Linked DNA regions of Drosophila melanogaster. The protein of the gene in region 1 purifies or fractionates together with the protein of each later gene. This does not show direct contact. Each region holds a gene or a part of one and is shown on either strand. Other genes may lie near its edges. The genes, in order: Bdp1 and Pbp49.

Region 1 (5,190 bases):
TTAAGAGCAAAACTTCCACCTATTGCACACTTGCTCTGATGTTCAATGGTTTCGATTTCTCTCGCCTGAATTTTAAAGCCGATCGAAGGGATGAACATAAGATGGAACTGGGCTTTCGGATGGTTTGATACGTGGCTCTGTTGGGCAGGGAGGTCTCATGGGAGCGGGAGCAGCCAGGTATATAATGGTAAAGGAGTTAACGACCTGCTTCGGGTTTACTATTGACCTTGCGCCGGCTCAAACTGCCCAACCAACTGCCGCGTTGCTCATTAGCCGTATATTCGTCATTGATAAGCGCGAATCCGTGAAACATGTCCTTCATCTTGATGGCCCGTGAGCAGGCGTAGTTCTTGGTGGCCACGTACATCTTGGTGAGGAACTCGGGCATTTGTTTCTGAGTAACCCAGGACTTAATATTCTGCGGTATGGGTATGCCCGGATCGTCGAAGTACGTGAGGACAAAGTGGAGGCCTGGCTCATGGAAACCGCGAAAGGGCTTGATGACCATCAGGCTCCAATAGTCAGTGACGCGAACTTTTCCAGACAACGCCGGATAGGTGTTGTGCGTGGCTCCGCGGTTGCAAATGAATATCAGCTTCTTGTTGTCGTCTTTTATGTAGCGGCGACAATAGACGTAGTCGCGATTGGCGAACAGTCGTGGCCACTGCATCTCCCAGTATATCAGATGCGAGTTGCTGCCCGGGACGGGATCCTCGCTGATGAGCTCAAGTCTTAGGGCCGTGTCGTCCCACTGGCGACGGTAATCCAAATCCGTTTGAACGTGGAGGAAGTCGTCCGCTGTGATGTCGTCGAATCGAGCATAAACCTGCAAACGGAAAGGCGGCATAAAAGTGAGCCCTAAAAAACTTTTAGATGGCCTCTTACCTTGTATGAGTATAAGGAGGAGCGCTCCTGCCGCCGCCAAATGCTGAATTCGTTTTTGCTAAAGTACGGCTCCCATTTTTGGTCGTCCTGGGCCTGAATGCGTACCGTTCCGGCCGGTGCATTGCGCACGTCCAGATCCAACGGTCGCAGACAATTGCTGATGCTGGTGTCCGGATCCGTCTCCGCCTCTTTGCTGGTGGACGGCTGGGATTGGCCCTTTTTGCAGCGCTGGTTGCCCAGCTGACAGTAGCAGTATTTCATCTTCTTGGCCTGGCAGCGGTCGCACAGCTGATTGTTGGGCAGGGCGTTGATAAACTCAATATCCCGGCGGCACAGATCAAAGTTGGACAAGGCCAGGCGCTCCTTGTTCCAATCGAAGCCATCGCTACCCATTCGCTTGATATTCAGCCCGACGAGACCCACTGCACTCATCACCATTCCCCGCAGCGGAGGCTGCAGCTCCCGGCGGTAGTAGGCGCGCCATAGCTGCTTCAGACCCTGAGTTCCATACACCGACTGGTAGAAACTGAACAACTGCTGAACGCGACGCGAGCGCTGGGCGAAAATCGACTCGCATTGGTAGCTCCAGGCACGCAGCGTTTCTCGGGACTGGTTCTTGATGGCCAGTACAAATCGATTGAACAGCATGCCGGCTAATTCAATTTGTCCGTCGGCCGCCCGCTTGCATAACAACCTACTCAAAAGTGCGGCGACTTCTTAATGCTCCTTCGCTATTACTGTGCCCCCGCACACTTGGCACATTTGTCGCCAGAAAACTTTGGGAATTTAGTACTTCTAGCCAGGACACACCCGATAGGTTTGCCGGAAGCGTTACTGCACGAGAGCTTGGTTAGGATCTGGGCGGACTTATCATGTTTGCCCGATTAGAAAAAACGTGCAACTTGCAATTTGTCTGCTGCTTCTGTTGTTATTCCGCTGTTGTTGTTCCTGTTGTTGTGCCGTTACAGGCAGCAGTGTTGGAAAATCGCAAACCGCCTGCTGAGAGGTGACAGCTACGATCAGTGATCACACTTTTCTGCAACACTGAAACACAAATAATATTAAATTCAACCAAACTTTTACTGTGTACAAATTTTTGACGTGAATCTGGTGAAGTGTGCCATAATTTATACCAATTTATTTTTGACACTGCGAATAAATTTACTTGACATGCTTTCTAATAACGCAGTTATCTCGTTTTTTTTTTATTTGTTAAAAAATCTTTTGGGTACTGCAAGTTTTTTATAGCCATTTTGAAACTTTAAATAAATTGGTTGTCTACTTTCTTACATGGCCAGGACACTGTGAATGCTCTTTGGCGTTAGCCAACACTATACTTGGGAAACTCGTGGTTGCGGCCGCATTGTTTTTGTTGCGCAGATTTTGATTCGATTTGATGTGTGAAACTGCGGTTGAGCCTGGAAGAAGCCTAAGAGTACCCAGGCAGGATGTCCATGCGGCGCCAGCGCATCAAGGCTCCGGCCAACCTGTCGCTTATCAAACGCAAGCCACGCAGGGAGGAGCTCCCAACGGCGAAAAAGGAGGATGAGGAGGAGGAGGCGGTGGTGGTGGAAGCAGAGGCTGAGTCCCCGCCCGTTGCATCGACCCCTGCTGCGGAATTGGAACTAGAGGCTGATGCAATCGCCTTCAAGATGCCCGCAAGCTCGGCTGGGCAGCTGGAAGAGGTATTCCACTCGGACCTCGAGGACAATGTCATTCAGATGGACTTGCAGAAGACCACCAATGGCTTCCCTATGTCGCCCAGCAAGGCTCAAGCCCGTCAGCGTGTGCGACCCACTCCGGTATTTGGCCAGCGACGCAACAGCTTCGTGGGCTCACCCATGGCCAGTGATTATGAGGGCGACTATCAGTCGCCAGCCACGCCCACGCGGCGAGAGCGCTATCTTAGCGGTTCTTCATCGGGAACTCCTTTGCAGCAGCAGGTGCACTCGCCTATGCCTCCGTCCCCCTATAAATACCTACCGCCCGCTAGTCCGGGCATGGGACGCATTCGCACCGAATCCACCTGTTCCACCTATTCCGAAGGAGGTAGCAAGCAGAGGAAGGGCGACGATAGGTCGCAAAGTCAAATTGGACAGCGGTTAAATGCCCGGCGAGACTTTGAAACCCGTTTCAATAAGGGTGTACCCGACAAGTCCACGTTCAAGATGATGGACATGATCTTCTACAATCCGGAGAACAATCCCATGGTGCCCAAACAGTCGGTGACGACCATCAAGGATGAGTCTGGTGGCGATGATTCCAAGCCCGCAGTCAGTCAACTATTGGAACCCAAGGGAGAGTCCACATCCGCTATGTTAGTGCCTCAGCTAAAGCTTGATGCCAATGGCGAGATGATCATTGATGAGAAAACATTGGAGATCGAAACCACGGCCGAGGTGGAGGCCCGCAAGGTGCTAGCCAACTCATCGTTAATCCTAATGGACGAGACTACGGGTGCGCCGCAGAGTTAATACATAAAAGTTGAATACTTAACGAATTTTATACTTTGCAGGAGATAATGGATTCTATAAACGCCACAAGCGCACGCCATACTGGACCTCCGATGAGACCGTCCGCTTCTACCGCAGCCTGCAGATCATTGGGACGGACTTCTCGCTGATGTGCCAAATGTTTCCAACACGTTCACGTCGGGATCTAAAGCTGAAGTACAAAAAGGAAGAGCGAACCAATGGGCAGCTCATAAACAAAGCACTCCTCTATCCTAAGGCCTTCAACATTCAGGAGCTCAAGGATCAACTGGAAGAGGAGGACCGCGAAAGGGAAGAAAATGATCGCAAGTGGAGGGAAATCGCACGAGCTCTTCCGGGAAACCCTAAGAAGGTAAATAATTTGTAGCTGACTGTAATCACCATTACATTTTTTAATTATATTTAGCGTTCCCGAGTACAGCAGCAAAGCAAGGCCTCAAGGGCACTAAACGATGGTGATGTTGTCTACGAAAACGAGCACGTAACGAGTACAAAGCTCGGCAAGCACGCCTGGGCCAAAAGGCGAAAGGAGTTGGAGACCGATGAGAACGACGGAAGTGCGCCGGCCAAACGTAAGCCAAAGGCTAAGCGACGATCTCCCAAGGTTTCAGTTCCAGCGGCAACGGAAAGCCTGTCTGATGTGGCGGCCATTAAGCAGGAAAAAACGATCAAAACCGAACAAACGAGTAGTCATTTGCCAACGGGGGGAGAACTGCAGGCTGAGCTCAATGGCCTCCTCATGGATGATCCGGTGGAATATGACGTAGATGTAAACAAGCCACGTGATAAAACTATTATCAATATGGATGATGGTACCCTAAGCTATGTCAGCGACGTCGAACCCGCCCCAGAGACGCCCAATCGAAAGGCAGAGACATATTTAATAAACTTCATTGAAGACCAAGATCATGAACTTATAACGCCGGATGACCCCATTCCGCCGTCCACTACCGAACCGGATATCGAACAAATTCTCGCCGAGCTTGCGGAAGGATCTCTGGCTCTCGTCTCGTCCTTGGATCCAGAGCACGAGGATCGTGTGCTCAACGAAATCTACATGCTGGACAAAAAAACGGGCGAGTTGTGCGAAACGCCTCTGAAAATACCAGAGCATATTGTTCAATGCATAATGAATGTTATGCAGCCAGAGGACTAACGACATTTTATATTTATATCTTAAGAGTATTTGTTAACAGTTATAATTTATTAAAGCATTTCGCTAGATGTATTTACAAAATTACTTTCTTGTTCCTCGCAAATTCAAAGGGAATTGCAAAAAATGCAAAAATGGGACTGACTTTCTTGGTTTCTTTAACTATTCCTAAAAAAAATTGTAATTAATATACAATTATAACAGATTTGTCAAAATAGTCTTATTTTATAAATAAAATAGGGTAGCAAGAAGGCTTTTAAGCATTAAAAGTGTTTGGTTATAGGTATCTACTCTAGACAGGATCATTTCGATTTCTTGCAATAACAAAAGCTTGTATAAAATGCAAAGATAGCCATTGCTTTTGTATAGAAAATTTAAATCAAATATATAAATATTTTTTGAATTTCCATTCATTTCAGAGTTGCCGTTCTCTAAAATTATTTTTCGCTTCGCAACACATATTTTCAGGCGCAGGGCTTTAGAGCACTGGACTTTTGACAGCTGTTGTTGTTGTTGCCTCGGCTGCGGTAGCAAATTAATACAATTTAACCAATATAGTAAAAAACGATGGCCCAAGTTCCCTTGGCAATCGTCTCGCACAAGCGCCAGGTGTGCAGCCTGTACAAGCGAGCACTGCGCAACTTAGAGTCGTGGTACGAC
Region 2 (4,567 bases), on another chromosome or scaffold:
GCTCGATCCAATCGGGATTTTCCAGAGCCCACTTACATAGCTCTTCGGGCGCCTCGGAAGGTGGAGTGACAGCACGCCCGGGAGACACGGGCTCCTCGACCCCGGAAGCTGCCGCGTGCGAAACGGTTTGTGGTGGAGAGTCCAGGGCGGTTTGTGCGCTTCGACATTACCTGAAAGTCAATAGATTAAGCTAAAGTCAACTCTAAATATGTGCTTTCAAAATTGCGCTACGTAGGAGTCCCTAGGACTCATTCTATCCACATATGTACATGAGAGTTTGATAGGTAGCAGGACTAGCAAAAAGTGCTTCAGATACTCACCTTTATTTGACGCCCTCGGAAGAGGGTTTCGTTCATGGCCAATGCCGTCTCGACAAACTCCTTGGAACCAAACTCAATGTATGCGAATCCCTTGGGGTGCCCGTCAGCCTTGTTGCAGAGTATGGTTACTCGGTTGATTGTGCCGCATCCGTGGAAGTGGGCCTCCAGTTCCTCGGCCGATGCGCCGTAGTCCACATTGCCCACGTAGACGGACCGCGTGTCGATTTCCTGCTTCTCCTCAAGAGAAAGCGGGACTGTGGCCAAGCCGGTGGTAGACCCACCGGCCATTTGTTTGTCCACCTCCGACTGCATCTGCTTTATCTTCTCGGCCTCCTCTTCCATCTCCTTGACTCGAGCCTTTATGGCCTCCAGTTCCGGGTCGATTTGCATGCTGCCCTCCTCCTGGCGACGAGGAAAATATGAAATTTAGTGGTATTTGATTTGGAGCGATGAGCAAACGCCCGAAACCACAGCAGACAATGGAATGGAGTGGCGGTGCGAAGTGACGCTCTGAAAATGGCAGCCATTGCTGCGGTTTTCGGCTTTGTATATCCCCCAAAGCTTTGCGAGCTTTTCCAGGGAATTCGGCGGGCTTTCGCAAGGCGTGAGGCCAAGAAACTGGTTCTTGGGCACTGTCTACAAGGGCAACCCCAACTCACCTCGACCTCTGTGGCGATCTCAGTCTCTTGCTCCCCGTTCGTCTCCTCCAATGACTCCAGGAGCTGATCCTCGTTCAATGTGATATCTTCATCGGCCATTGCTTTGGATTTGGGTTTGTTTACGTCTGCTACAAAAGCTCGGTTTTGTTGGCGCAAAAGCTTCCGGCGTGGTACTCAAAACGGCAGTTGTCGTAACTATGTATGTATGGTAGCTGTCAATGAGAAAAGGGCGGCGAAAGTGAGCATAAAGAGCGTAAAACATTAAGAGCGCGAATGAAGAGTTCATCATGCAAATGCAGTGAAAATCCAAGCCATAAGTAAATAAATTCAGGCTGCGGACACCGAAATGTCTAGGTTTCACTGCGTTCGCACTACTACACTGATATTTAATTAAACACACTGTACTTACGTTTAATAAATGTACAAATTACGAGCTCGTTCTGCTGACGTTGAGTTCGCCCAAAATGGCTGCCCTGTGAAAACACACGTACGCTGGGTTGCTGGGTTGCTGTTTTTCGTTCAAAAGTCTACGTTTTTAAACCCTTTTCGACTTTGTTTCGCGCCACACCACGTCAGCATAAATATTTATTTATAAGCTTATTTATTTATTATTTACTAATATTTACAACTATACGAAAACGTACGTAGTTTTTGACACAAATTGAAACAGATTTGTGTTCGCCTCGTTTTTACCGATGACAGTTTTCGCCTCGATAGTTTCGATGGTTTGGTGGTGGGTTTACCTATCGATAACTGCCGGTATTTAAGAAAGCAGTTCTTTGGATGATAAAAATAATAGTATTTTCACACCACAATGCCATTTTAAATTTACCATAGGAAGGAAAGAAGAGGAATGTGCACGCACATTTCTAACAAGGTTTTGTAAATGGGAATCAGACAAATTATTGTTTAAGGAAGTCATATATTGCGAAATAACGCCATCATTCAACCATCAATCAGGGCCCATGCATAACGATAAAAGGAGAACATGAACGATTCCTCCGATTCGGAGTACGAGGACACAGAGTACCTGGTATTTGCGGATTTCAAGAACCACATTCATCCGCACCAGCTGAAGCACGAGGACGCGGCCATTAAGATCATCGGAATCGAGAGTGACACGCCCATGGCCGAGGTAAATGGAAGCATTTATCGGGGACGCTACGAACATTCCGTGGGAACCAACGTGTTCTTTGAGAAGGAAAAAGACAATCTGGCAAGTGATCCGCTTTTTGAGTCAGTGTGTCGCCAGCGGTACCAGTACGTGGACAAATCCACCAAGGTGATATCTTTTGAAAGGGTCTACGTGGACAATTTGCACCAGGAGGTGGAGAAGTCGGCTGAGACTGAAGAGGACGATCAGACCGAGCCAAAGCCAGAATCTCTGAAGCTAAATATAACTTACAAGGAGGCTATTAACAAGTTTGGAGAAGATCATTGAGTGTGGAGAACTGAGTCTAATCCTGAACAAAAAACACTCTTTCAAGACATACCTCTTAGTACCATGGATACCACCTATATTACAACGAATCCAGCTTTAAGCCTGCGAGACTTTCTAGCCGACTATCAAAAGAAAATATCCGGTACTGCAGACGAAGTGCCCTTCTTTCTCCAAAAAAACCCAGTACTTGTCGACGTGTCTGAAAGCTGTTCCCTGGACTTGATCGAGTCCCCAGACGACAGCTCGATTGCAGTCTTCCAGCCCGCCGCAGACAAATGCCGCCCAACCTTTTCTCCGCCGCAGGAGAACCAGCATGTGCCCTCCACTTTTACTGCTCTAAGCCAGCACAAGGACAAGTCCCGTAAGTGTCCCTTTGGCCGCACCCAGTACAGCCACAAACTGAATCCGACGCCGACAGACTCGCCTAACCTGCACATCGATGCTTGCGGCGAACTGGAGCTAACCGTGCGTCTATATCGACCACCGCGGGCCTACCATCGCGGGTTTAAGGTGGAGATTCCCGTTTTCGCCGAGGAGTTCGTATGTCTGGGCAGCAATTATCTGACCGAGCTGCGGGACAAGATCAGCTGCGTTTGCAATGGAAAACGGTTTGTCGACATCAGCGACGATCCAGATGCACCGTTGCCATCCATTGACACAAATCCCGGTTACTTCTTCATCAACGACACATTCTACAACGACCAGCGCAATCCGGACAATCCCGACTATTCCAAGACCGTCTTGCAGTGGGCTGCCAGAGCGAACGGAGTGAACGGAGAAACGCTTAAGGTGGAGAGTATGGAGGGCAAAAGATTCATCGATCTCACTGTCAGCCCCGGATCACCGCTACACTACCTGCACCACGGCAATTGCGAACACCTGTTTGTGATCTCCCAGGTAGAGGTGCTAACGCCACTTAGTAAACGGCCAGATCGCAGCCTGTATCCCTATCCTCACGCCTTCAGTACGTTTAATCGCAGGACTTGCTATATGTGCGGCATTCGCAGCTATAGCTTCATCGTGAACCAGTCCCGGCGACAGCTGCACGATCCCTCCTACCTGTGCCGCAGATGTTTTCTCAGCTTCTTTTACGTGGATGGTGTCAAGCTGGGCCAGTTCAAAGCCTATCGCATGTATGACCATGTAGAGCTGGAGGGCGAAGAGGAGGACATTAAACAGCAAAATCTCCCCTCCTGAATATACATATACATTTGTGTGATTTTTTCTTTATTTGCGAGCTCCTTTGACTGCAAGATCGCTCAAGGAGTTGATTGATATTTTGTTCTTGTAAAATATTCATAGATAGATTTAAATAAAATACATACACGTTGCAACAAGAGTAATTGGCATTGAACGTATTCGATTGCCGTAAAGCTGCCTAAATTCCATGCAATCTAGATTAGCAAAAAGTTAGTGTCCAAGTTAGGAATACAAAAATGCAAACAACGTAAATAGTACGATACATCTGGCTTAGAACTTACGTTAATACATATATGCAGTAGTTCAATGTTTAAAAATTTGCTTAAGGATTTGCACACTGTGGTGCAGAGTATAGACTTGACCAGGACCCATATAAAACAAACCAATAGACTAAATATGGCAAATAACATAATACATTATCCTAGACAAGATACTAGTACTAACCGTACTTAGCAGTACAATACAGTAAAATTCTGTGCACTGGGATTCCGGCGTGCACGTGAAGAGAGACTGTGCGCTTAGTTACTGGGGCGTAGAAATGCATCAACAACATATTGCCAATCCGACCAACAAATATCATTACGAACAACTGCAGGCTGGGATTCCATTCGCCCGGACCTCTTTGGTGTACGCGCTTGCGTTTACTTCAGTGTTAAAGCTTTGACCAGCGGCTTCTCGACGGCGGGCGGCGGTTGCCTAACTCTGGAAGACCAGCTCCCGCTCCACCGACAAGTACTCCAGCATCTGCGCCGGCACTGGCAACTGGGCCAGCTGTTCGCGAGACATCTGGCGCTGCAGAACACGGCGGCATAAGTCCTGCAGCTTGGGCATGTTGGAGTACCGGCTCAACGGGTACTTGAGGATCACTGGAAACGGTGGCTGCATCTCGTTGGGAACCTTCACAAAGCACACAAAGTTGTCGTTGGTGCAGCGGTGCAAGATATCTT

The links.
Region 2: the proteins of Bdp1 (region 1) and Pbp49 fractionate together in Drosophila melanogaster (co-fractionation; one study listed by BioGRID). This does not show direct contact.

The regions. Positions count from the first base shown.
Region 1 is NT_033779.5:13,370,847-13,376,036, reverse strand, and holds Bdp1 (B double prime 1), read left to right. Parts: upstream 1-2,212; 5' UTR 2,213-2,333; coding exon 2,334-3,342; intron 3,343-3,400; coding exon 3,401-3,729; intron 3,730-3,783; coding exon 3,784-4,533; 3' UTR 4,534-4,610; downstream 4,611-5,190. Other genes in the region: CG6565 (uncharacterized protein), read right to left, coding at 197-826, 886-1,533; ND-B22 (NADH dehydrogenase (ubiquinone) B22 subunit), read left to right, coding at 5,098-5,190.
Region 2 is NT_033778.4:8,128,545-8,133,111, reverse strand, and holds Pbp49 (PSEA-binding protein 49kD), read left to right. Parts: upstream 1-1,788; 5' UTR 1,789-1,856; exon of another isoform or gene 1,857-1,939; 5' UTR 1,940-1,967; coding exon of another isoform or gene 1,968-2,420; 5' UTR 2,421-2,483; coding exon 2,484-3,617; 3' UTR 3,618-3,758; downstream 3,759-4,567. Other genes in the region: Pabp2, read right to left, coding at 37-170, 321-722, 980-1,078; CG42516 (uncharacterized protein), read left to right, coding at 1,968-2,420; Socs44A (suppressor of cytokine signaling at 44A), read right to left, coding at 4,317-4,567.